Linked DNA regions of Callithrix jacchus. The protein of the gene in region 5 purifies or fractionates together with the protein of the main gene of each other region. This does not show direct contact. Links are inferred from orthologs where the notes say so. Each region holds a gene or a part of one and is shown on either strand. Other genes may lie near its edges.

Evidence for each region.
Region 1: the proteins of RACK1 (region 5) and SRC purify together in Homo sapiens (affinity purification with western blotting; 4 studies listed by BioGRID, with this or other methods). This does not show direct contact. The link is inferred for Callithrix jacchus from reciprocal best matches to the Homo sapiens genes RACK1 and SRC.
Region 2: the proteins of RACK1 (region 5) and HDLBP purify together in Homo sapiens (affinity purification with mass spectrometry; 3 studies listed by BioGRID and IntAct, with this or other methods). This does not show direct contact. The link is inferred for Callithrix jacchus from reciprocal best matches to the Homo sapiens genes RACK1 and HDLBP.
Region 3: the proteins of RACK1 (region 5) and HELZ purify together in Homo sapiens (affinity purification with mass spectrometry; 3 studies listed by BioGRID and IntAct, counting the BioPlex papers as one, with this or other methods). This does not show direct contact. The link is inferred for Callithrix jacchus from reciprocal best matches to the Homo sapiens genes RACK1 and HELZ.
Region 4: the proteins of RACK1 (region 5) and TNRC6C purify together in Homo sapiens (affinity purification with mass spectrometry; 3 studies listed by BioGRID and IntAct, counting the BioPlex papers as one, with this or other methods). This does not show direct contact. The link is inferred for Callithrix jacchus from reciprocal best matches to the Homo sapiens genes RACK1 and TNRC6C.
Region 6: the proteins of RACK1 (region 5) and RIOK3 purify together in Homo sapiens (affinity purification with mass spectrometry; 3 studies listed by BioGRID and IntAct, counting the BioPlex papers as one, with this or other methods). This does not show direct contact. The link is inferred for Callithrix jacchus from reciprocal best matches to the Homo sapiens genes RACK1 and RIOK3.
Region 7: the proteins of RACK1 (region 5) and LARP4 purify together in Homo sapiens (affinity purification with mass spectrometry; 3 studies listed by BioGRID and IntAct, counting the BioPlex papers as one, with this or other methods). This does not show direct contact. The link is inferred for Callithrix jacchus from reciprocal best matches to the Homo sapiens genes RACK1 and LARP4.

What each region holds. Positions count from the first base shown.
Region 1 is NC_133506.1:32,832,217-32,835,716, reverse strand, and holds part of SRC (proto-oncogene tyrosine-protein kinase Src), read right to left. Parts: intron 3,456-3,500; coding exon 3,357-3,455; intron 3,197-3,356; coding exon 3,093-3,196; intron 1,221-3,092; coding exon 1,071-1,220; intron 1-1,070. UniProt on the Homo sapiens protein: Non-receptor protein tyrosine kinase which is activated following engagement of many different classes of cellular receptors including immune response receptors, integrins and other adhesion receptors, receptor protein tyrosine kinases, G protein-coupled receptors as well as cytokine receptors.
Region 2 is NC_133507.1:162,508,499-162,511,998, forward strand, and holds part of HDLBP (vigilin), read right to left. Parts: intron 1,978-3,500; coding exon 1,756-1,977; intron 1,685-1,755; coding exon 1,466-1,684; intron 675-1,465; coding exon 536-674; intron 1-535. UniProt on the Homo sapiens protein: Appears to play a role in cell sterol metabolism. It may function to protect cells from over-accumulation of cholesterol.
Region 3 is NC_133506.1:122,191,352-122,194,851, reverse strand, and holds part of HELZ (putative helicase with zinc finger domain), read right to left. Parts: intron 3,361-3,500; coding exon 2,790-3,360; intron 2,391-2,789; coding exon 2,156-2,390; intron 1,364-2,155; coding exon 847-1,363; intron 1-846. UniProt on the Homo sapiens protein: May act as a helicase that plays a role in RNA metabolism in multiple tissues and organs within the developing embryo.
Region 4 is NC_133506.1:133,834,958-133,838,457, forward strand, and holds part of TNRC6C (trinucleotide repeat-containing gene 6C protein), read left to right. Parts: intron 1-2,954; coding exon 2,955-3,500. UniProt on the Homo sapiens protein: Plays a role in RNA-mediated gene silencing by micro-RNAs (miRNAs). Required for miRNA-dependent translational repression of complementary mRNAs by argonaute family proteins.
Region 5 is NC_133503.1:73,608,094-73,612,352, reverse strand, and holds the start of RACK1 (small ribosomal subunit protein RACK1), read right to left. Parts: upstream 2,801-4,259; 5' UTR 2,698-2,800; coding exon 2,589-2,697; intron 2,312-2,588; exon of another isoform or gene 2,244-2,311; intron 1,072-2,243; coding exon 900-1,071; intron 624-899; exon of another isoform or gene 545-623; intron 383-544; coding exon 235-382; intron 1-234. UniProt on the Homo sapiens protein: Scaffolding protein involved in the recruitment, assembly and/or regulation of a variety of signaling molecules. Interacts with a wide variety of proteins and plays a role in many cellular processes.
Region 6 is NC_133514.1:66,559,388-66,562,887, reverse strand, and holds part of RIOK3 (serine/threonine-protein kinase RIO3), read right to left. Parts: intron 1,930-3,500; coding exon 1,814-1,929; intron 1,212-1,813; coding exon 1,066-1,211; intron 974-1,065; coding exon 866-973; intron 662-865; coding exon 552-661; intron 1-551.
Region 7 is NC_133510.1:69,174,757-69,178,842, forward strand, and holds the start of LARP4 (la-related protein 4), read right to left. Parts: upstream 2,801-4,086; 5' UTR 2,667-2,800; coding exon 2,457-2,666; intron 2,279-2,456; exon of another isoform or gene 2,203-2,278; intron 1-2,202. UniProt on the Homo sapiens protein: RNA binding protein that binds to the poly-A tract of mRNA molecules. Associates with the 40S ribosomal subunit and with polysomes. Plays a role in the regulation of mRNA translation.

The DNA.
Region 1 (3,500 bases), on a different chromosome or scaffold from region 5:
GATGTGAATGTGACTGGAGGAGAGCTGTTCTCGAAACAGCAGGAGTCCTGGGAGGCTTCCTCGAGGAAGCAGCAACTGCACTTGGATGGGCAGGAGAGTGAGGGGTTAAGTAGGGAAGAGCCCTCTAGGCAGGCCACAGCCAAAGCAAAGGTTCTGAGAAAAGAAGAGCTGCAGGACTGGAGAAGCAGAGGCCAGGGAGAGGGGAGGAAGGGTAGCACCAGCGGAGGCAGAAAGGCAGTCGGGATTAGACCGTGCAGGGGCGGCAGGAGTCTTTAATCCAAGATTCCAAGACAGCCCCTGGAGGGTTCTGATCTGAGGGAATGGGATTCAGAACGAAGCACACAGTGGTGACTTAAGGGACAGAGAGTGGTGGATGATTGGGAGGAAGTCAGGAGGCCCAGCTGAGAGGAAGAGGCGGCTGGGGGTGTGGAGTAGACCAACACCTGCACACAGAGGCCAAGCGTGCCACAGACACATGGGCCCACGGGCACCCACAGGCCCCTGACACTCGGTCAGCTCCAGACGCCCAGGTGGGTGGGTCAAAGCACGGCAGTGCCCACACCCAAGCCCTCACCCGCATGCAAGCCCCACGAGCTCCCTCTGCCGCTCTCTCGCTCTTTGTACAATTGATCTGGGCACCCCCTCCTCCTCTCCCAGCAGCCAGTTCAGACCGGTCCTGGGCTACAGAGACAAACGACACTAGCCTCTGTCCCCTCCCTTCCCGCTCTCTGGGGCTCCTCTGGGCAACCCCCTTCCCACCAGCCAGCTGCAGAAAAAGACAGGGAGTGGGATGGCGCGTGGAGCCAGGAGAGAGGGGAACAAGGAGGAGGGGACAGAGAGGAGGGGGGCAGGGTGGAGGGGGGCAGTGGGGAAAGGAGAGAAAGAGGAAAGGAGAGAAAAGGAGGAGGGAGGAAGGGAAGGGGGAGGAAAAAGTAGGGAGGGGAGCAGGAAACCAGGCCTTTTAGGCTAACAGAAGAGCGGCCTTCCAGGCTCCAAGGCCCCTCCCTGGGGTCTGCAGCTGAGGTCCTGCCTGGCCGCCCTCCCTCCGAGGCCGAGGCCGCTGCGCTCACTGGAGTAGTAGGCCACCAGCTGCTGCAGACTGTTGAACTGGGTGCGGGAGGTAATATAGAAGCCGCCGCTGTCCAGCTTGCGGATCTTGTAGTGCTTCACGTTGAGGCCCTTGGCGTTGTCGAAGTCGGACACTGAGAGGCAGTAGGCACCTGCAGGCAGGGAGAGGAGCCGTGACCACCACGCCCTCTCCCCCACAGGGCACCATTCTGTGCCTGAGTCCAGAGGGAAGGGAGGCCCAGGCAGTTGAGCCCCCAGCCCTCCCTGTCTCTCAGCAGCCCGACCCAGGGCAGCCACAGAGGTAGGACCAAGAGACCCAAGGGGTACTTGACCGGAACATCCTGCACGCCCCCTTAGCCCCGGCAAGACCTCAAATCCCAGTGCACATCTAGCTGTGGGACTTAGAGGGGTGGCCAGTCCTCTCTGGGCTCAGTTTCCCCTCTGCACAACGTGAGTGCTCCCAGGGTGGCTGGGAAGATTCAGTGCATCCACATATTAAAGGGCCTGGTACTCAGCAGGCACTCAGTAACTCTTTGCTGGGAGCCTGTGAGTGGCTCCCCGTGGCTGTGTGCCCTGGCCTAACTGCTTTCCCTCTCTGGGTGGGCCCACAGGGTCACTGTCCATGCTCCCCCCACTTTCTGAACGCAGGCCAAGGTTCAGGCGAGAGGGGGTGGTTGCAGAGGCTTTGGCCATGGTGGGCAAGAGACCACGGGCTGGGCATGGCCTGAGGCCTGCCTGAGTCAATTGGGGCCAGCTCTGGTGCCTCCCCTCTTTCCCTTGAGCCTAGAAAAGCTTTTGGCCCAAAAGTTTCCTCCCATCCAGCAGGCCTGGGTAGAACGAGAGGCCAAGAGACGCCCGAGAGGCATCAGGGAACAAGGCTGAGCCCTGGAAGTGGGGCGGAGGCTCCAGCGGCCAGGGACGGGCCTTCTCGGGAGCCTCTCCAGGAGGTATACAGGCATGGGAGAAAGACCAGCTGTCGCAGCCCATGGACCTCCCTCTCTGCAATCTTCAGGCAAAGGTTACAATCGCAGTGTACAGAAGAAATGAGGTCCAGAGAGGGACAGTGGCTAGCCTGGGGTCCCCCAGCAAGCCAGATACAGGGCTGGGGCTCAAACCCACACCTGAGGACCAAAGCCTGCCTTGGACAACTGTGACTTTCTACCGATGGCCAGGCTAGTGCATGTAGACACCACAGGCCTGAGGATGAAGCCACCCCTGGCCACATGTGCACACACGAACAGGCATGGCCGGGCACAGCAACCACAGGCTCACACAGATACACGCTCCCCAGGCCCTCAGGCACCAGACAAACCACAACAGTCCATTCCCACACGGCAACACACAGACAATTCTGCCCCACATCCACACACACACACACACACACACACACACACCCAGATGTACACACAGCATGCACACACACAGCCCCACAACCGCTTGTAAATGCACGGCTCAGCTCGACATGGATGCTCTGCTCCCCACCTCCCGCTGAGCCCCAGGCCCACAGGAAGCAGCTCAGCCTGGTTGCCATGGTGACAGGCGCCTGCAACCCACTTTCAGAGGGGCTGGAGAGAAAGGGGCTGGTCTTCATTCTCTGGCTTGAGGGAGGGACAGGAGAGGGGCAGGGACCAGGACTGTGGTGAGGGGTAGGGCAAAGCCAGGCCCCAGCACCCAGTGTGGGCCCCAGTGACCCCGGGGAAGGAGAAGAAGGGGGGCTCATTGCAGCAGCACCTACCCTGAGAACGAGCCTGCTGTCGTGTGACACTCAGATCTCCAGACAACCTATGCTCAGCTTTCATCTGAGGATACTGAGGCCAGAGAGCTAAGCCTCATCTTTCTCTGGCCATCTGGCCATCGTGGGTTACTTGGCGTTCCTCAGAGGCACCTCCCTGACTTTGATTACCTCCTTCTGGAAGGCCCCTCTCTCCCTACTCCTCAAGCCCAACTCCTGCTCATTCTGCAACACCTAGCCCAAACCACTCACAGAAAACTCAGTGTCCACTGGCCAGCAGGAGCATGCATACCTTTCGTGGTCTCACTTTCCCGCACTAGGAATGTCCCCCTCGGGTTCTCCGCGTTGAGCAGTAGCCGCTCTGACTCCCGCCTGGTGATCTTGCCAAAATACCACCTAGGGGTGGGAAGACAGAGGATGGTGTTGGTGGTCCAGGCTTCTGCCACTCACAACACCTCTCCTCAGATACGTCTGGGGCGCTGGGCAGCCCAGGAGAGGCGCTCTGCATGGGCAGCACCCAGGACGACGGGCAGAGGCAGCCAGAGACGGTACTTACTCTTCAGCCTGGATGGAGTCGGAGGGTGCCACGTAGTTGCTGGGGATGTAGCCTGTCTGTCCCGTGCTGAGCGAGTGGGCCAGCCACCAGTCTCCCTCTCTGAGCAGGGACAAAAGGAGGAAAGAAAGGAGAAGGGAGCCATCA
Region 2 (3,500 bases), on a different chromosome or scaffold from region 5:
AGAGCAAGCCGGGGAGAGGCCGCCCACCACATCCCACACCTCCTCACCACCAGGTGACTGAGCAGAGCTGGGGGCAAGCAGGGTACTGGGAGCAAAATGCCCTCCTACAAGAGCTGCCAGTCACTTGGATGGTGCCCTCCGGCCGGCCAGAGGCTACAGCTGCCTGCCTCACAGGGGACACCCCAGAGTGACGGGAGGTGTGGAGAAGGAAGCTCTCTGATGGGGTTCATGTGATCCAAACATGTCATGAGAAATACTGGGGTTGAACTTGGGGCGCCCCGAGGATGAGGTGGCACGTTACTCGTCACCTCGCAACTTGCCGACATATGAAGGGCACCTGGTCACTCTGTCAATAACTGACATGGTCCATCTTTTAAAGCCCAGAGGATGACCCTGAACCTCTGGAAGCCCCCCGAATACACAGATGGTTTTCCAGCAGAGAGAGGAAAGAGCCTCACCAGTAAGTGTGACAGCTCTGCCTCTCACGTGAAAAGCACCACCATCGACAAGCAGAAGATGACTAAAGGGGACCCACCTGGGTTCTCCTCTCTGTCTGGGAACTTAATTTGAACACTGAAATCCCGAGTAATCTGCTGGATTCTGGAACCTTTGGGGCCCATGACAGATCGATGGAATTTCTGGGGTATAGCACATTCTAATGTCACCTGAGCTTCCTGGAGGGAGGTACACAAAGAAAAGAAAGAGCAAAGGTTAAATCCCTCGGGGCCTGTACGAAGTCTCAGCACTTCCTTCCTGTCCACCACAGCCACTCGGTACAGACACTTCCGTTCTGAGGTGAGTCCAGGGCTCCAGGTGCAGGGAGGAGGGAAGGTACTAGGGCATGTCCAAGAGGGTGGGCGGCCTCATTTTTTTTTGTTTGGAGATGGAGTCTCCTTCTGTCGCCAGGCTGGAGTGCAGTGGTGCGATCTTGGCTCACTGCAACCTGCCTCTCCTGGGTTCAAGTGATTCTCCTGCCTCAGCCTCTCGAGTACCTGGGACTACAGGTGCACGCCATCATGCCCAACCAATTTTTGTATTTTTAGTAGAGACGGCGTTTTACCATGTTGGCCAGGGTAAGGGTGGGCCTCCTTCTGAAATGTGTCCCTGCAGGGTGGCCGATTCAGCCAAAAGAGTGGGAACTTCTGTGGTGGCCTCTGACTCTATGAGGAGGCATCAGACTTGATTATCAGAGAAAAGGCATCCAGGCCCTGGCAGGGGAGCAGCCCAGAGGGGCATGGAGGGGACACTCTCTAAAGGCTGCTTTAGAAAAGAAACACATCTTCTCGTGACTTCCCCATGGATTCACGTGGATGCCCTCAGTCGATTTTCTTTCCTTCACAGAGGGGACAAGAGAGCTGACCCCTTACACAGACTGCATTTCCATGTTTTCTGACCCCTTACACAGACCATTTTCTCTGTCTCTCTTTTTCCTCTTAGACCCCTCCCCGAACACCCGAATGCCTACCAGGTCCTCAATGATCTCCTGAATGCGCCTCTTGGCTGCCTCCACACAGTCCTTGGCGCCCTTGAGGGCGACTTTGTCGCTCTGTGTGCCAGAGCGTGGGAAGCTGACCATCACGCCACCGTACTCTTCAGCAATCTCCCGCAAGACCTGGCCTCTTCGGATGACGAAGTGGCGGTGGTGCCTGGGGTCCACCAGCATGTAGTCTTCCACCACATTATCCTGACAAGAGATGAAGATAAGCCACCCCATCCCAGCCCCAGCAGAGCCGGCAGCCGAGGCCCGCTCCCTACCAGGTTTTGGATCAAGGCCTCCAGCTCCTTCTGTGCCTCCCGGACGGCGTCCTCCTTTCCGATGATGGTGATCAGGTCCTGGTCCTTGTCCTCGGCCGCAGGGAAGATGACGCGTGCTCCAGTGCTGTCACGCACCTTGCGGATTTTGCCGCCCCCCTTGCCAATGAGGAATTTGTGGTACTCCGGCTTGGCGCGGATGTCAACAGTGAAACTCTTGGTTTGCTGCAGAAGGCAACCCCACTCTGTTAGTCAGACACCACATGCCTGGGCCACAGTGAGGAGACAAGAGGGCCTGGAGGACAGCAGTGCTGGGCCCCCTACACTGTCACCAGTGCCCTGATGTTGCAGCACCCCCAAAATGGGGCTGGCACGCCTCGCCGAATCCGACAGACAGACTGCACGCACACCTCTCTTCCACAACGATCAGATGCTGGTGCTGATGACCACACAGGCTTAGACCCTGGTCCTGCCACTTGGAAGCAGCACTGAGCAAGCTTCCCCAAGCCACTTTTCATCTGTAGGGGGCAGAGGGAGCAATGCACTGGGTGATGTGTGGGCAGAGTGGGGTGTGCCCAGAAGAGCAGGAACAAGCCACCCGAGAGCCTACACTATGCTCCTGCTCTTCTAACCACTTCTAGACCAAGCCCACACACCTGGACCAGGCTTCCTTTGCTCTCATGACTGCTACAGATCAGCCCCACAAAACCAGCCGCTCCCAGGCTCAAGCAAGCTCAACTCAGAGGGACGGAAGCCACCCAAGGCTACAGTTAGAGACCAGTCCTCAGAGGCCTCGGAGAGCATGACACCCTCGTGTGGCACCAAGAAACGAAGGGTCCTGAAAAGGCCCTGGACACTGTGACCTGTGGACACCACTGCCTCTGGCAACTTCTCCAGGGGACACAGTGCAACGCGCTGCTCTACGTGACTCAGATCCACCAGGGGAGCTCCTGCTGTTCTCCGGACCCAAGACCTGGCCCGCAAGCCAGAGCACCAAAGAAACACGTGCTGGCAGAAAAATATTAAATGACAACTTTGCTATATTTTAGGTGCAGGTTTCACCAAATACCACCCAAAGACTCTGCTGCTCTTCAGACACATCCACCAACAGCAGCATTAGTCAAAAACCAATCAAAAGGCAAATCCAATCTAGCAATACGGTAAAGGACAACCTACCAAACCCAGGGTTACCTCAGAAATGCAAGACTGGCCAAACCTAAAGACAGAAAGTCAGTCTAATGCAACCTAACAACAGAAAGACAGAAATACGAGGCTCCAGATCAGAGAGAAATCTAACTGTTCACAGACCACGTGACTGATCACGTAAGAATCCACAAAAGAGTGCCTAGCACTAAGACGTGGGCCTCATTGAGCAGTCTCACGGAGGTGGGCATACAACACTCACAACACTCCTCCACACACTAACAACCAGAAATGGGAAAAAGCGCCATTTGCAACAGCACGAAAAGGACAGTAGCAGAACATAAAAGTGTGCAGGATCTGTATGACAAAATGAAAACAATGAAGAATCACAGACCTGAAGAAAATGAAGACATGACTCAGAGTCAAAACTGCTGAGCTGTCAATCCTCAGCAGCCTCATCTTCAGATTCACCACAATCACAACCAAAACATGAAAATGTCGTTTTCCTACAAACGGACAGGCTGACTCAGCCAGGGATACAGAACAGCCAAAGTTAAGAGGGCTTGGGCCGGGCGCGGTGGCAGTGGCTCACACCTGTAATCCCA
Region 3 (3,500 bases), on a different chromosome or scaffold from region 5:
TAATGGCCTTTAGAAATCATTCTGAAACTGCCAAAATGAAGCCAGTATCAAAAAAATATTTTTCATATATTAAAATTAGAAATGTTCATTCTGATTTAAGATGTCTCTGACTGATATGACTACAACCAGCTACAGATGCTTATCTTTAATCACTGCAAATTTAATGGGATCAGCTAGATATTTTTATAGACTACACCACATGGTGCTGCTTCGGGAGTTTTATGACCTGGAATTACTAAGTTTTTCATATCAATAAAAGTCCATAAAGATGCTCTTTAGAAATATCTAAGTGTTTTAAAATAAAATTGAGTTTACTTTGAAATGCTTAGTTTAGCAGAATCACTTTTATGTTAAAAATCTGCAGATTCTGCTATTTGGGAATCAGAGTACCACTGTGTCTCTAACAAAGTACTAGGCTGAGCGACAGGAGAAGGAGCACAACACTTGGAACTGGTGCCGGCTGAAAAGCCAGCATCTTTGGAAAGCTCTAATTAACAAATTTATAATTAACGCATGTAAACTAAAGTAAAAAGATGAATCACTAAAAGCTACTTCCTCAGATTAAAAAAGACAAAGCTGCTTGAATAAATAGAGTCCTTAGATGTTCAATATTCTTTAAACAGCAATAAAAGACTTCCAAGGAGCTTCATGTTTCAACAATAGTGCCCATTTTACAAACTCTGAAATAGCAATAGGAGGGTGGCAATTAAAATAATTCCCAAGAAATGATGATCTTTAATACACTATTAAATTCAATAAGATCTGTGCATTCCTATTATCAAATCAATAAACACTGATATTTTCCACAATCAACTAATCCCAAAAGGAAAGTAAGAAGACATTTACCTCTTCTAAGCTAGGGAGCGAAGAAGAAGATACTGTTCGAGATGACAATGGGTGAAATGGCTCTTGACCAATAGCATGTTGATGATTCTGTATTTGTACAAAAGGGTTCTGCGGTGGCCTGTGAGGCAATGGAGGTAGGCCATAGGGAAAACCTGGCCCCATTAGGTGATTCTGTTGCAAGTTAGCAAAAGTCCACGCTCCATCAGGTGCCAGGTATTTCAAGGGAGGGGGGGCAAGGTGTTCAGATGGCAACGAGAAAGGCGAGCTGAATATCTGGGGAGGGAGGCGCTGTGGAAATGCTGGGTTGCTGGCTACTTCAATGTCTCTGCTGTTATCATTAAAGTTAGAAAAGTGGCTACTGTGGTCTGTACTGGATGGGGGAGACGGGACTGCTGGTGGGCTTCTAGTCTGTACTTGTCTATATTGCAAAAGTCTTGATTGAGGTGGTGGCATTTCAGCTAGTTCCCGTGTTTCACTTTGATCACGATGAGACAGTTCTCTGATTAAGTCTTGAAACCTACATGAAAACAAAATACGAGGAGAAAACAAAAGGCTCCATCACACTAAGGAAAGCTTAGTCAACTACATGTGTATTTTCAACAAACATCATAGTACACTAACAACTAGAACTGACATTAATTCATCTCAGATGTAAGCACTAACACTCAACAGATGCCGAGGTGAAGGCATTGAATATGCTCAATTACCTAATTTCTTTCTGGTTCCACCGCATTAAAAACATCTGTCCTTGTCTCTACATGTCTTTGACAGCTACAAGTTATAAAAGGTCACAATGATGGTTATTCAGAAGGGATCTGGAAACACTTCATAGCATTCATGTGACACTGGCCATAAAAACAAGCTTAGAGTCAGGACCGAATACTCAGATGTAACTGGAATTATGGGAAGGTAGAATTCTGTGCCACCAGAAAAATAATTAACAATTTTTAGCTTTTAACCACGAATTTACTCCTGTCTTTATTCATTCTCTGCAAGCATTACTACCAAATAAAAAAAACCCACTCACAGTGACAGTATGTTTCTCTTGCAGAAGAAAACACAAAGCAAGGGAACAAGTTAATTTACAACCCACAGTAGATCATCCATGCCTACATTTGTAAAAGAGTTACTTCTAAATGAGTTTTCTGTATTTTAGAGTCAATCAAGAGAACTTTGTAGCATATGCTGTAAGGCCAGCATCCAATTTCTCTGAGGCAATATTCCAACTTGAAGCTAAAAGGACTACATTCAAAAAAGAAAACAGTGAGGGGGTCACATTCCAGAAGCTATTTTTAGTCGGCTGGAATACCTTGAGTATGTGGTTTCCACTTCATCTTCGGCACTGCTGGTGACCTTCCAGTCTGCCCTCACTGGCGGCTGATGTAATCCCAGGGGGGGCTGAGGAAGATGCTGGAGGTGGGGATGGTGGTGGTGCGAGAATGGAACACTGCCCTGACTGAGGAAGGCATGGTGCTCACTCCACTGCTGTAACCGTGCCTGCTGCTGCCTTAATGTTTCCAGAGCCACACTCCCATGTATACGATCTGCAAAAATATTTGTGAATTTCTTTTTATGAATTTGGGGTTTCAAGTTATTTTTTAAAAGTTTTACAAACATACTTTCTCCACAAAGACAAAGCAATAGCTACAATTTGGTTTCGGTAGAAAGTAAATGTTTTCCAAATTTGCCAGAAATCAGAGTTACGGTGACAATTGATGACAACTCTTCCTCACTTACATAATGATGATGCTGACATCCACTGGATACTTACTGTCATACAGCATTTAGAACTAGATTCTGATTATCACACTAAATGGGGGGTTTTGTGCCAGCATTATTTGAAGAAATGATTCAATCCTAACCCAAACTGATATTGTACAGTCTATGTCATTTTAGTAAGTAAGCTCTGAATTTTCACAACTGGCCATAATTGGAGAACTTACCTAAAGCCTCCCCCAAAGGTAATCCTGGGGGATTCTCATCAATGAAGCTATTCAGATGCGAAGGAAGAATGGGGCCAGGCTGTGCAATGGCTTTCAGAGGACTGTGGCCTTCTTGCAGCATGGGAGGGGGCTGCTGCTCTGGAATCACAGCCTCTGCAGGAGGAGACTGTGGCCGATGAGCAACTGCATTATTAAAAAAAGCATTGCTGGGTCCTGCCTGATATGCAGGAGAAAGCTGAGGAGGCGGCTGCTGAGGCTGCTGATTCAACTGACTTTGCTGCTGGACTACCTGATTTGGCTGAGGTGGTATTTGATTTGGTTGTTCAGGCAAATTATTCTGCTGCTGATTTAACAAGGTGTGCTGCTGTGGAATTGGAAAGGGTGGTCTTGGTAGCTGCGGAAGGGGATGAAAATGGCGATTAGGGATTGCATACTGTGCATGGGGGGCAGGAAGAGGAAGATTTATGTGTCTTGGGTTGAGATTATCTTTGCGAGGAAATTTGGTACTGGGATAAACAACACTAGGACGTGATTCAGGACTTCTGTTCTGTGGATTTGATTCCAAATCAACCTAGAAAAAAAGAAGAAGCCTTTTTAAACTGCAGAAAATTTGAGTTCAGTAGCTCTCCACCTTTCCCCAACCCTACCGCATCTAAAGGATATGATACATTGATATCTTCTAGCAGGAAAGCTGGGCACTCAATCATATAC
Region 4 (3,500 bases), on a different chromosome or scaffold from region 5:
ATTTTTTTTTTTTCATTTGAGATGGAGTCTCTGTCACCCAGGCTGGAGTGCAGTGGAGCGATCTCAGCTCACTGCAACCTCTAGCTCCCAGATTCAAGTGATTCTCCTGCCTCAGCCTCCTGAGTAGCTGGGGTTACAGGCATGCACCACCACACCCAGTTAATTTTTGTATTTTTAGTTGAGACGGGGTTTCACCATGTCAGCCAGGCTGGTCTCGAACTCCTGACCTCCAGAAAGCCACCCCTCGGCCTCCCAAAGTGCTGGGATTACAGTAAGGTGAGAGCCACAGTGCCCAGCCAGGAATTCTTTAATCTGATAACCATACATTATCTGTTCCCTGCCTGTGGTCTGTGTATCTTCTCCCTGCCTGTGGCCTGTGGCTTGGTTTTTTAGTTTCCATTATGTGATATCTTTTGTTATATAGATGTTTTTAATGTTAGCATAGTTGAATTTATCACCTGTTTATGTCTTATGTATTTCATGTCTTCTATAAGAAGATACAGTGTCCAAGATCATAGAGATGGTCTTCTATATTTCCTTCATAAGCTTTAAGAAGTTTCGCTTTTCCTAATTAGATCTTTATCTAGAATGTGTTTTTGTATATTATATAAGGGATCTACTTTCATTTCATGTGGCTAGACTGTTGTCCCACAGCATTTATTAGCCACCAGCTTGTAATGCTCTGCTTCTCTCAAACCTGTCATTATAACTGAGTGTGAACCTGTCAAACTGGGGGCTGAGCAACCCTCAAGTCCTCAAAGCAGACCGTGAACAAAGGGCAGATTCTTTCACAATGTGACTATTGTGGAATGGAACCAACAGTACTGTGTATTCAAATGGCACCTCACTTATGGAAAAGAATACATTGGTCAGGCAGGTTGTTAACCTCCTGCTTTCTGGGTTGCAGTGAGTGCTGTCCTAGTCTGGAGGCAGTCCGCTTTATGGCACAACCAAACAGATGGTAAAATGAAATGTGGCAATATTTGCTGGCAACAAGCCATAATCTTAGTATGTTAACTTCGTCTTATTTTCTATGTTAAATGAGGAATGGCTCATTTATCTCTTTAGTTAGTTATTGTATTAGTTTTTAGAGTATGTTTGAAACCAGATTGTCATAAACCAGGGTTATAGAGCCAACCCCTAATATTTGGCAGTGAGAAGAACTTAGTGGTTTTCTAACAGTTTCAATACTTAAAGTTTTCTGTTGCCTGGGCACAGTAGCTCACGCCTGTAATCCCAGCTGGGAGGCCGGTGCAGGCAGATCACCTGAGCTCAGGAGTTCCAGACCAGCCTGCCTAACATGGTGAAACCCTGTCTCTACTAAAAATACAAAAAATTAACCAGGTGTGGTGGCATACACCTGTAATCTCAGCTACTCTGGAGGCTGAGGCAGGAGAATCTCTTGAACCCAGGAGGTAGAGGTTGTAGTGAGCAGAGATTAGGCCACTGCACCCCAGCCCAGGCAACAGAGCAAGACTCTGTCTCAAAAAAAAAAAAAAAAATGCTGTTGCCTGTCTTCATTTTCCTTTGTAGTTTTCACCTGGAATTTTGTACCTACCTTGGAATCACCTAGACCATCATTCCATAATCATTACATTGCTCTTAAATCAGGCAATAAAAATCTCTCTTATGTCGATATTAGCTTTAGTATGGTCTTTCTAATGATAATGATAATTTTTTACATGTATACTCTTTTTCCTTTAGCTCTATCAAACTTTAAAAGAGAATTTATTTGGCAAATTCATGTTCTAACTGTCCATAATATTTTTCTTGTTAAAATAAATTTGAAGAGAACCTAATTTAAAAGATTCTAAAAGATAAGAAAATGTTTTATTGCAATTTAATTGTATATTGTAGTATTTAAAGAAACTCACCTGAGATTTCTAAATTATATATGTGAGTTGTTTGTTTGGGTTAAATTTTTTTAACATTTCTTTTACTTTATTTCTGATTGATAGATACTTTAAAAGTCTGCCGAAAAGTTGATTGGAATATAAGTTTAATTGCAATGTTGGAAGTACTCAAATAATTATTAAAGTCATAGGAAATAATATGCAGATCCCAAACAGTGGATTCTTTAAAAGGACCCAAAGAGTTATATAAATACTATAAGAAGATAGCATATAAAGTTATTCTAGGAATCTCCAAAGAAAAGGCTCTAAAGAAATAGAAAACAAGGATAGATGGAATCCTTGGAGACCCAAAAGATACCACCTATAGGGCTGAGATTCTTTTTCTTTCTTCTTTTTTCTTTTTTTTTAGCCATGTCCTTGAGTTGCAGATTTTTTTAATTAATGCACAGGAGACAACAATAAACTAAATTGTAGATAAGATCAGATAAAGTAGCATAAATCTAATTAAACATTTCTAATCCTTAGTATTCTTGATAAACATAAGAGAGCATTGTCTCATATGTCTTGTCTCCCTTTCCTTCCGTCACCTCTTCCCCCACCCCAAATATTGGTTCTGTTATGATTTCTGCAAGGCAATTTACAGTTTGTTTCTGCTGAAAGCCATGTTCTTCCTCTATATAATACTGTAATTAGAGGTCTTAAAGAGAACTACAAGTTCTGTTCAAAACTCCATATGAACTTACTGTCATTGCCAGTGTGTCGCAGTCTCTGTTTACAGGAGTTTCAAAGTCACGTGTCTTTCAGAGCTGCCTTTCCTACAGATGCTTTCAGAGATCCTTATGTGCTAATGTGCATTGTGAGTATTCTCCAAGGGGAATAATAGTATGGTGTAGTGGTCGGAATTGATACAATTTTAGAAACATTAACGCTTTTTTAAAATGGAAGAAGCTATTTAGCTTTTTTCTTTAAGTCGTTTTTTTAGTGTTTGTCATTCAGATTTGAAGACTTGAAATAAAGAGCTTCCCCAAAGACTAGTTAACAGTTGATTCATTGACAAATGGGTAGAAAATCTAATTTTGAATTTTGTTTCATCTTTTTCAGATCTCAGTCATAGTGGATTGGCAGATCATTATGAAAATTCCCACTGGGGACAGCAGCCTACTTACAGAAGTGAAGCCAACTGCAGCTGGGATAAAGTGATAATAGATAGGACTGACAAGGAGGCGTGGCCTTCCATCACAGGAACAGAGACTGAATCTGCCTCAGAATGTACTACAGACACTGACTCTGCCTCCAACTGTGGCTCAGAGAACAGTAGCATGGCTACAGGGAGTGCCCAGGGCAACTTCACTGGACATACCAAGAAGACAAATGGCAATAATGGCACCAATGGCGCACTCGTCCAAAGCCCTTCTAATCAGAGTGCCCTTGGAGCAGGAGGAGCGAACAGTAATGGAAGTGCAGCCAGAGTGTGGGGTGTAGCCACAGGCTCCAGCTCTGGCCTGGCTCACTGCTCTATCAGTGGTGGGGATGGAAAAATGGACACCATGATTGGAGATGGGAGAAGTCAGAATTGCTGGGGTGCTTCCAACTCCAATGCTGGCATTAATCTTAACCTTAATCCTAATGCCAACCCAGCTGCCTGGC
Region 5 (4,259 bases):
TGCGCCCCAGCCTGGGCAACAAGTGAAACTTCGCCTCAGAACAACAACAACAACAAAAAGTAGACACAAAATTCAGAGATGGGGGTCTCAGTATGTTGGCCAGGCTGCTCTCCTGTCCTCAAGCAAACCTCCCACCTTGGACTACCAAAGGGTCAGGATTACAAGCATGAGCCGAGCCCAGACAAGGGTGGGAGAGAACCGTAGACACATGCTCTGACCGTGCCCTCACTTTACCTGGACAGTGTATTTGCACACACCCAGGGTATTCCATAGCTTGATGGTTTTATCTCGAGATCCAGAGACAATCTGCCGGTTGTCAGAGGAGAACGCCACACTCAGCACATCCTTGGTATGGCCCACAAATCGCCTCGTGGTGGTGCCCCTGAGAAGGAGGGCTTTGTCATTCTCAGACTTAGCAAACATTCTCATTCAACAGTCAGACTTATTTCCTATACTAGGTCTTGTCTCTATCTCATTGCATCATTCACACAACCCTGGACATGGCTCTGATCACAGCAAGCCCTTGACTGAGTATATGACAGAGAATCCCGTCAGAATTGCAGGACATGTCCTCACTCCCCCATAGGGATTGGCTGACAATGTCGTCTGTCATCACCAGGACCCTCTAATTCCCTCTGCCAATTAGCTGAGCTTTCAAGGCAAAACATGTTCAAACTGTTGTCTACTCAAAACTGTTGCACCTGGCAAAAACGTTCAACCAAACTCCTCAGAATGCTGAGTACTGAGTGAGCGAGGCCACCAAACATCTTTTGTAGGTGTGCTCTGCTTTCCAGTTCCCAAATGGACTGTATCTCCCCTGGGAAACCAGACAATTGCATCCACCTCATTTCTGCCCAGATTTTTCCCAATGCCCCAGAGCTAAGTGAGCAGCTACTTGCGTTGTGAGATCCCAGAGGCGCAGGGTTCCATCCCAGGAGCCTGAGAGGGCAAACTGGCCATCTGAGGAGATAACCACATCACTAACAAAGTGGGAGTGACCTCGCAGAGCACGCTGTGGAATTCCATAGTTGGTCTCATCCCTGGTCAGTTTCCACATGATGATGGTCTTGTCTAAAGGAGGTAAAACAGAGAAATCAGTGAGGAACCCGCAGCCCGTTTCTTAACACACTGGATATTTCACTAAGTGTCAAGGTCATCAGTGGGTTAACAACTAAGGACACTTAAGGAGGGATGAGAACAGCAGGCTACAAGACCAGTTACTAGGCCAGGATTGAGTGGCTCTATTCCAGAATAAAAACGCAGGTAGAGCTAAACTGTACCCCGATAACGTTTTTTTTTGGATGAAGTTTCACTGTTGTTGCCCAGGCTGGAGTGCAATGGCATGATCTCAGGATCCCAGCTTACTGCAACCTCCACCTCCTGGGTTGAAGCAATTCTCCTGCCTCAGCTTCCCTAGTAGCTGGGATTACAGGCACCCACCACATCCCGCTAACTTTTTGTATTTTTAGTAGAGACAGGGTTTCACTACGTTGGCCAGGTTGGTCTCAAACTCCTGACCTCAGGCAATCCACTCACCTCAGCCTCCCAAAGTGCTGGGATTACAGGTGTGAGCCACCTCACCCGGCTTTTTTTTTTTTTTTTTCCTGTGCCCAGGTCGGAGTCCAGTGATCTCGGCTCACCACAACCTCCACCTCCTGGGTTCAAGCGATTCTCCTGCCTCAGCCTCCGTAGCTGGGATCACAGGTGCCCGCCAGCATGTCCCACTATTTTTTTTTTTATTTTTAAACTATAGACAAGGTTGGCCAGGCTGGTCTTGAACTCCTGACCTCAAGTGATCCACCCGCCTCAGCCTGTATCCTGAAAACTTAATCCAGGTGCCAGAAATTATAGACACCCCTTTCCTGAGACGGGTCTTCTCTGCAACCGAACGCACAGCAGTCTGTGGCTGCTGAGTAGCTGGGGGCCTCCTATGCCTACCTCTGAGGGCCGACAGAAACGTAGTAACGAATGCTGGAAAAGTCTCTTTAAGCACTACAGGATTGGATGCTTTTACTGAAACCGGTTCCACTCAACAAATTTTACTATTAACAGACAAGCATGATTCAAGAGTCAGACAATTCTTAATAGTGTAGGAGCGAACGGAATGCTTAAGAAGCATCTAAATGCAGTCAGGCACATAGGGATGGGGACGGGGAGAACCACGGGAAAAAGGGTAGGCCGAGACTTGAGCCACGAAGTCTTCTGGAGTCCACCCGTCTCTCCAAGAGCCTTGGGCCGGGCGGTAGCTCAGAAACAGCCTCTGGATTTCAGCACCGATACTCAGATGGCATGTTGGAATCATCACCGCCCCGTCCAGCCCGTAGGCCCCCTGGCCACATTAGGAAAGGGAAGGCAAAAAATATTTTAAAAGTTCCCAACTCTCCAGCCCTCCTAGCAGCTACGAGCTGATCTACCTCTAGGTCCTCATCTGCGAAGTGATTCGCCCGGGCTGAGGCCAAGGCTCGGGTCTGCAACCCCCAACTCACAGTGGGGTAGAAAAGTCTGCCAGTCCCCGCCAAGTCGCGCGGCACTGGGCTGTCACGCGACACGCCGAATCCCCTAGCCCTGCAAGCTACCTTACTCCGTACCTCGAGAGGCGGATAGGATCATGTCCGGGAACTGAGGAGTAGTAGCAATCTGTGTTACCCAGCCGTTGTGGCCCTTGAGGGTGCCACGAAGAGTCATCTGCTCAGTCATGGCGGCGGAGAGCGCGTGTACCACTGCACCGACGAGGATGGCACTGGATGGTTCAGAGAAAACAGCACCACAGCTTCTCCCGCCGCCGCCTTGCGTGGAAGAGAGCGAGCCGACCCCCCTCCGGAACCGGAAATACCCGCACGACCAAACAAAATGGCGAGCCCTTTCCTACGCCTCTGTTCAAGATGGCGGCGCCCTGTATTGCAAAAGGCGAAGGGAAATTGCACCGCATCACAGTCCCCTCTTCCGTACAACATAATCTGGAAGCGCTGTACAAATACATTCTGAAACAAGCACACTTAAGTGTTTAAATCGGCTTCTCAAGGGTGCTGTAGAAAGTGAAGGGAAAGAGGTTATATGTACGGCACATTCCCATGAGGACCGCCTAGCGGCTTCCCCGCCCCTGTGTGGCATGCCCGAGCTCCGCCTGTTCCACTTGGTGCGCGGAAGGGGCGAACTCACCACGGGTGAGCTTAATTTTGAGTTCACTCTCTTGGGTAGCGATAGGCAATTTTAAAAGTATAGTATTAAAGTTTTAAAAATTAACTAAATAAACTTTAAAACTGTGCTCCCGCAAGGGCTGTTCTCCCAAGAAGTTTTTGTTCTGATGCACAGTAAGTCCTAGTCCACGCTGGACTAAGGCAGGAGAGGATTACTCTGGATGAAGTAAAAATTGGTCTGTTTGGGGCAGGCATGGTGGCTCATGCCGGTAATCATAGCCACTTTGGGAGGACGAGGAGGGTGGATCACTTGAGGTCAGAAGTTCGAGACTAGCCTGCTAACATGATGCAACCTCTTTACCAAACAAATAAATAAATAAATTAGCCAGGCGGGGTGGCATGCGCCTGTAATCCCAGCTATTTGGGAGGCTGAGGCAGGAAAATCCCTTGAACCTGGGAGGCAGAGGTTACGATCAGCCGCGATCGTGCCACTGTACTCCAGCCTAGGCATTTCATCTCAAATAAATACATACATATTAAAACAATAAAGTAAAAGTTGGCCTGTGTGTTGCTAGAGTGCCAATCTGTTCCTGCCTAGGCCAAAACGCGGGAACCTCTCACAGAAATGGAAATGCCCAAAGGAGGACCTTAAATTTCTGACTTCTGGGGATGCCTAGTGGAAAGCTCTTTCTGAGCCCAGCCACCACACCCAAAAGCCCAGGGGTCTGGGGGTTCAGGTGAGCCCTGAAAGATGTGCTGCCCCAGACAGGGAAGTGGTGGGACATGGGTACCTAGCTGTTCTTCTGCTTTCCGCTCAACTGCAGGAATGTAAATAAGTAATACCTTCCATTCTCACACATCTCTGACTATAAGAGACAGTATTGGCAGCGTGTCTATTCAAGTAGTTTCAAACAGGGGCACCGATCGGGATGATAGCAGCCACCAACACCTATGCAAAATAAAGGGGGCATTATACGTAAGTATATACCTTTTGAAATATCTATCGACTTCCATTTATCTGTGAAATGAGATTGGAAATAATATTAGTATCTACATTACATGGTTGCGTGGAAAATAAAGAAGCAAATGTAAAATGCCCTGAACAACGTCTGGCAGAGTAAA
Region 6 (3,500 bases), on a different chromosome or scaffold from region 5:
TTAGCCAGCCTGGTCTCAAACTCCTGAACTCGTGATTCACCTGCCTCGGCCTCTCAAAGTGCTGGGATTATAGGCGTGAGCTCGGCCTAGAATGCTATTTTTAAAAATTACACATTACTTCTGATTTCGCACAGGTAGTTCAGGCACAAGATAATAAATTCAAAAAGCACAAAAGGTGATATGGTGAAAAATATTTCTCCCTCCCATTCATATTCCCCCATCACCACTGTTCTGTTTTTTTGGGTAGGTATGCTATTTTATAGAAATATGCTGAAGAATAAATGTTATTTTTATAATAACTATTAATTTTAGAATCAATGTGCGTCAAATTAGTTTTTCAATGCTGCTACAGAATTTTATTCTGAGGTACTTTGTATTTTCATTAATGTCTCAGTTTCCATGATATTGCTGTATTATTATCTTAAAATATCTTTAGAAAGGAAGAAAGGTATTTTTAGAAATCTAAGATATTATATTTAGAATCAGTCCTGTTTTTAAAACATATTCAAACAAAACTCTAAATTCAGAGATAGATACTTTCTGTAACTTACATTTTCCATTCTTGCTGTATTCTTTCTCCCACATACTACTTCGTCATGTTTGGTGGTGATATCTTTTCCTTTTCCAATAAAGCCCTTTTTGGGAGTGGGAACCGGTTTTGCTAAAGGCATTAAAACAAGCCAGGTATATAAAAATAGCAAAGACTATATTGCTGCATTCAATGTTGTCTGAAAAGCCATTTGAATCTAAGAGTAAATTACCAAATGAGATTCAAAGAAAAATAGAAAACTAAAAGAGTTCATTGGAAAAATTAGTCTTCCTATACCTCTATTCTGCTGCCCCCAGAAAATAAAAGCTTTGGTACCTGGTCTGTAGGGATCATCACGAGTATCCTGCCAGTCAACCTCATCTTCAGAGCTATCGCTGTCTTCATAAGGATGCACTTTTCGATAATTTTCAAAGGAAATGGAAACTTAAAAAGCAAAAATAGTTGAAAATTTACTTAGGAGCACATTATGAGTGTTTTCTACACTCAATGGAGTTGTCACAATAAGGTTATAGTACCTTTGCTATCTCCATTGAATTTTTTTTCTTCACGCCTAAGCTGTGCGTCATATTCTCTGTCAAATTCCATCTGTAGCATCTGAGCCAGCATAAGGTCACTGGAAGTATCAATGTTTTCTCCAGTAATAAATGGTCCTTCAGCAACACTATTCAAAATAAGGCAATATATACTAATATAATGTGCTTAAGTTAACAGAGGTTGCCAATTATGAGAGTAAGAGCTGCCTTTTCCACGTTAAAATTGAACAATGGGAAAGAACTCTACCAAACCATCATCTTCTCCTGCACAGCTAGCCTTAAGACCAATGGCATGCACCTGTGGGAGTACCAACTTGGATTAAGAGAGCTGGGAGAGAAAGCTAAAGGTTCTATAATAAAATCCAAACTGAGATCTAGAATTCATTTGTTCTGAATGAAAGTCTGGATGTTTCATTTATCCATAATGAAAGAACAGATACATATTCATGAAAATATAAACTATAAACACTTGATTAAATCTGTACCTCATCTAGTTCAACTGTGGCATTAACATGAAATAACCAAAACCCACAGAAACAGTGGTTTGTCCAAGATAACAGTGAAAACCAATGCAGACTCTGGACCAAAATTCAAATATCAGTGGACTCTCAGCATGGTGCTTTCTTCTGTGCTGCTTTTTCCTAACCACTTGTCATGACAATTACTCATCAGATCCTAAAAGTTTGCTATAATAAGTTGCTACATAAAGTGTTTTGTGAATTTTACTTACGCAACTTCAGGAAAAACAGCAGCTTCTTCTTCTAACTGCAATTCTTTGGCCAGCTGTTCACTCATTACATCAGCCAAAGAACAAGATATTGTATTTTGAGGGATAGCCCACGGACACTATTAAAAGTGAAAAAAGAACAGCTCAATTAATCATAATGAAATATAGTACCTCTCATTTTACAAAGAAGGTTATCTTTGAGAATTAAACTATGTAGTTAAAAACCAAAAATGAACAATTAGCTCTTTGCAGAAATCGTCTCAAAAGGAAAAATATCTCCCAGGTCAAATTTATTCAAGGATAAATATAAACTAAAACATCCCAAAGCACTTTCTAGCCTGCTAAGAGGGTATATCCTTAAAGCTGAGGGGAAGCATCATGTTTTTATAGCATCCCCCCAGCAGCCAATACGTTAATGTAATTCCTCTTGTTCCAATTCCTTGCTCACCAAGCTACTTTCTGTTTATAATCTGATTTCCCAAGTAGATTGTCTTACAGGAGTAGACTATACCAACTAGCACGATTTGAAGCCTAATGAAAAGTTATATCTCATTTTAATGCTGAGCCATCGAAGTATACAAATTATGTCAGCCCTTCTCAAGACATCTTAGAATGTGCTAAAAACAAAAACAGGCCAGGCGTGGTGGCTCAGGCCTGTAATCCTAGCATTTCGGGAGGCCAACACAGGCAGATCACTGAGGTCAGGAGTTCTAGATCAGCCTGGCCAACATGGTGAAACCCCATATCTACCAAAAATACAAAAAAATTAGCTGGGTGTGGTGGTGCGTGCCTGTAGTCCCAGTTACTCAGGAGACTGAGGCATGAGAATCACCCTAGCAGGTTAAGGTTGCAGTGAGCCAAGATTACGCCACTGCACTCCAGCCTGGGTGACAGAGTGAGACCCCCTGCCATACATATACACACAAAAAGCAAGAACAATCAACAAAAATTTTAGTTTTTATTTTATCTCTTTCCTTTTTTTTGGAGACAGAGTCTCCTCTGTCACCCAGGCTGAAGTGCTGTGGTGTGATCTTGGCTCACTGCAACCTCCATCTTCCCAGGTTTAAGCAAATCTCCTGCCTTAGCCTCCTGAGTAGTTGGGATTACAGGTGTGAGCTACCATGTCCACTAATTTTTGTATTTTTAGTACAGATAGGGTTTTGCCATGTTGTCCAGGCTGGTATCGAATTCCTAACCTCAGGTGATCTGCCTGCCTCAGCCTTCCAAAATCCTGGGATTACAGGTGTGAGCCACCATACCCAGCCCTAAAATTTTATTTCTGAACTTTAGAAGCTGAGAAACAGGCTCTTAAAACAATACCAACACAGCACAGTAATATTCTCTCAGATCCAGCTGGCCTTCCTCAGTGACATACCACTGCCTCAGCTTTCTTGAAATCAAACTGTAGGTTTATTTCAAATTCATAATTTTTGAGGGAGCAAGATGCTTTCCCCAGCAGCAGCAAATGATTATATTTTATAGCCTAGTGATTAAGACCTTTAATATTAAGATGTCTAAGCATCTCCTGAACTTGCCCAGTTCTTTCCATCCCTCTTCCATAATTCTACTCCAAGGTATCCCATTCACTGGGTTACTTTCAGCGCATCCTAACGAATCCTTCTGCTCTCAATCTTGCTAGTGTCCATTCTCCACACCATAACACAATTGTTCTAAAATGCAGATGTGATTA
Region 7 (4,086 bases), on a different chromosome or scaffold from region 5:
AAAATGCACATAAGTAAAAGGTATTGAACACAACTGCAGAGGACCCACAGATCTCAGATTAACCCTGGTAAAGATGATCCATAAGCAAGCTGGTTTAGTAAAACCGCTCTTAACCTCCTTTGTGACACAGAACTCTTTAGTAGTCCAATTAATCTATGGATCTCTTCTCAGAGTTTTTTTAAATTTCTAAAATATAGAGAATCACAAAGTAAGCAAATTATATTGAAACACAGTTGCCAAAATATTTTAAAATGTCTAATATAGCAATATAGTAAATATTATTTTTACATACAGCAAGTACCGAGCATGAATATTTCAAGATATCTGCAAAAACTATAATATATGAAAAAAAGTGATTTATCCTGGTGACAATGTCACAGACACTGTTGCTGCCATTGACATTTAAAGAATTTTCACTTTGTTTCCATTTAGGTTTCAGTTAGCAGTTAGTGAAAATAGGCAAATATTTTCCTCAACCAACCTCAGGTACTTCCTCAATTCTATCCAAAAACCTAGATTAAGAACCTTTGACTTACAGGAAAATGCAAAAATAATTTTGGAGCCAGAAATTTATGTACTAGAAGCCAGACTTCAGACTTTAGTCCCTACATTATTTACACTTGAATGACCTTAGACATCTAATTTCTGAGCTTTGGTTCTCTCACTGAGAACAATTCCTCTATCATGAGGTTATAGAGATCAAATAATAGTTAACACAACACCAAATGACCAACATGTTGTTTTTGACTGATACCACATATTCAGCCCCAAATATTTAAAGACAGTTAATTTTCAATAAAACTCATATAAGAATGACATAATGATTCACAAAGAAAATGAGATACAACTTTAAATAATAGTTTGGCAAGACATATGGTATAGTTTGTCTAAACTGGGGAGTTGAACAGGCCTGAATTGCTAACAGCCTGTCCATGATTTGACATCAGCATGGCCTGGATCCAAATCCCAGTTACACTACTTTACTTTTACTAAGTAAAGTTACTTTAACCTCTGGGCCTTAGTTTTGTCATCTGTAAAACATTGTAAATATTGTTTTAGAGACAGGACAGGCCCTAGCGTAAATAACAAATGGAGGCTATTAAAACCTACATTTTAGTAAAGCCAAAGGAATCAATTTGTAAGTCAAAAGTTTGTCGTGGAATTCCTGTCTGTATAAACTTCACAATCTTTTGTCTGCCCAGCAAAACGCATACACAAATACCTGTGGTATCTGCATAGCATAACAGTCCTAAAACAAACTGGCTGGCATGGCTAAAAATCTTATCTGATTTCTTATTCTGCCTAAGGAAAACAACAATGAGGACAAAAAACAGTAAACAGAATGAGTTTTAGTAATTTTAAATCTTTTCATGATTTCCCTAGAATGTTCCAATGAATGTTATGTTAGATATACTCTAAGGTAGTAGTCTTTTTAAAAACTAATTTAAATTTCTCAAACTTATCGGCGACACAAAGTTAAAGAAAAAAAAACCGTAAAATCATTTACTTAACTTTACGTTGAAATATTACGAAGTAAGATTTTCCCACAACCCGGAAAAAAAAAAAGTCTGCCATAAGCTGACCCCGGCTCCTAGATCCATTATACAACCTGTAAATTTCTTCCCTCATTGAAATGATTCTTTTTATGGGCATAGTTAACTAATGCCAAGCTGCGAAGTTGCAGCTTTGCTGGTTTTACGTTTTCACAATGTAAGAACAATATGATCTGGAATCTACTCAAAGCATTAGCCAGGCAGTCAGCTGACGCTCACTGCACACAAGAGAACAGAATTAAGGAAAATTAAATTTCGTATTTCTGTAAGGCAGGTATCCAACTCTATCTTGAAAACTAAAATAGGCCGACAGCAGACGTTCTAGTTAAAGTAATAAAAGTATCTCGTGGTTCAAATAACATTACAAAAACGGCTTTTCCCGGAAGAAATTTCTCTCATTCTTGCAATTTTCCCTGTAAAGGGCTTTTAATCGGCTCATAGAACCAACCCCTCATCACGCAGCTGCTTCTTGAGTAACTTTTACAAAAGGTCAAAGCGGTGCCTTTCAAGTCTTCTATTGGCTTTTCCTCGACTCAAAGTAACTCGCTTTCACCCATAGAATGTTCCAGAGACCTAGGGACCTGGCCCGGACAGAATTTGGTGGAGGTGGCTCAAAGGAAGTTTTCAATTTTATTTCCAAAACACTTACCGCATTTCACCTTCCTCCCTCCGCGTCCCCACATGTTGCTCGCCTCCCTCCCAGAGGGCCCCGCGAAGCCGCACTCGGCCCCCGGAACGTGCCCACCTGATTACCCTCTCCTCCCTCAGACTCCGCCCCCAACCCCCTGTGCTGCCTCCTTTAGGAGATCCATATGGGACACTCTCCCCTTCCTCTGATCCTCACGCCACACCAGACCAGCCCTCCGTTCTTCTCCTTCAATTCTCCTCCACGACGGGCCTCACCTCCCACAGCTTCCTAGAGTGTGGTGAGCGCGCAGAGGGGAGCTGCAGGCCTGCTCGGCCCAGGTGCTGTGTCAGCCTGTCTGCCGGTTCCGCGGCGTGTACGGCCCGCAAAGTCACATGGCGGTGGGACCGGCCGGCGCCTCCACACTCCTGCTCTCCTAAGGGCAGGACGAGACTAGCAAACCCACTCACCTCCACGAAAAGCAACATGTCGTCCTCCGCTCGGCCCAATCGTTCCCGCCGCCGCAACTCCAACTGGCTCACAGGCCCGCGCCCCAATTGCTAGGATAAGGACACACACTCGCCTTGCCCCTCCACCCGGCAGTGGACCCGGCTCCTCCCCCGCCGTCAGCCGCTGCGGCCCGACCCGCCCAGTTTCACCGCCCTTAAAACAACAACTGCTTCCGGGTCTAGGGAAAAATTGTTTCCGGGAGAAAAGAGATCTCTCGGCGCGCTCAACTTTTGCACTATCTTTTCCAGCAGCAGTGTGGGAGGTACTATCATCTGTCCGCGGTGGGGGACGATTAGAAGGAGACGCCATTCTGTGGCACGGAGATGTGTAAAAATCTTAATGATATATTTTATCACTTGCCAGATAGCTACACAGCACTCATAATTCCGCAGTTTTCATAGTTCAAAATCTAGATTTGATTTTAAAAATACGACTTTGTCAAAGTGCACTGAACAGAAAAAAAGTAGACAAGAAAAAAAAAAACTATGAGAGTAGTTAATATATTATTAGCCTCTACCGTACTGCTGTATATTAAATGCTTACATTGCGTTTGGCACTATACTAAGCATTTTATGTTAATTAATCTTAAAACAATTTTATGCAATAAATACTACTATTATCATTCCCATTTCACAGTTGAAGGAGCCCTCTAGGAGGTTGGGTTTCCCTTAAGCACACCTTCTTTTTTTAAACTTTTCTTAAAGACAGTGTTTCACCATGTTGCCCAGGATGGTCTCGATCTCCTGACCTAGTGATCTGCCCACCTAGGCCTCCCAAAGTGCTGAGATTATAGGCGTGAGCCACCCCACCTGGCTCCCTTAAACACACCTTTAAAGAACTTTGCCCCGGGCTTACTTGAATTAGTTACCCATATCTCTGCTTAATATACTCCCAATAGACCCAGCAACATGGCTGGTGCCTGTAATCCCGGTACTTTGGAAGACCGAGGCGGGTGGATCACGAGGTCAGGAGTTCAAAACCAGCCTGGCCAAGATGATGAAACCCCTGTCTCTACTGAAAATACAAAAATTAGCTGGGCATGGTGGCGGAGGCTGAGGCAGAGAATTGCTTGAACCCGGTAGGCGGAGGTTGCAGTGAGCAGAGATGGAGCCACTGCACTCCAGCCTCGGTGACAGAGCAAGACTCTGCCTCCAAAAAAAAAAAAATATATATATATATATATGCTACTAGTGATAACACTTAGTCTGAATAGCCTCTTCATTAATGTTCTGCCATTAATTCAAATGAAATACAATAAAGACAAAATTAATTTTTAAAATTATAATTTTTTCTTTTTTTATAAAGACGGGGTTTCACTATGTTGGTCAGGCTGGTCTTGAACTCCCGATCTCAGGTGATCTGCCCACCTTGGCCTCCAAAGTGCTTGGATTACAGGCG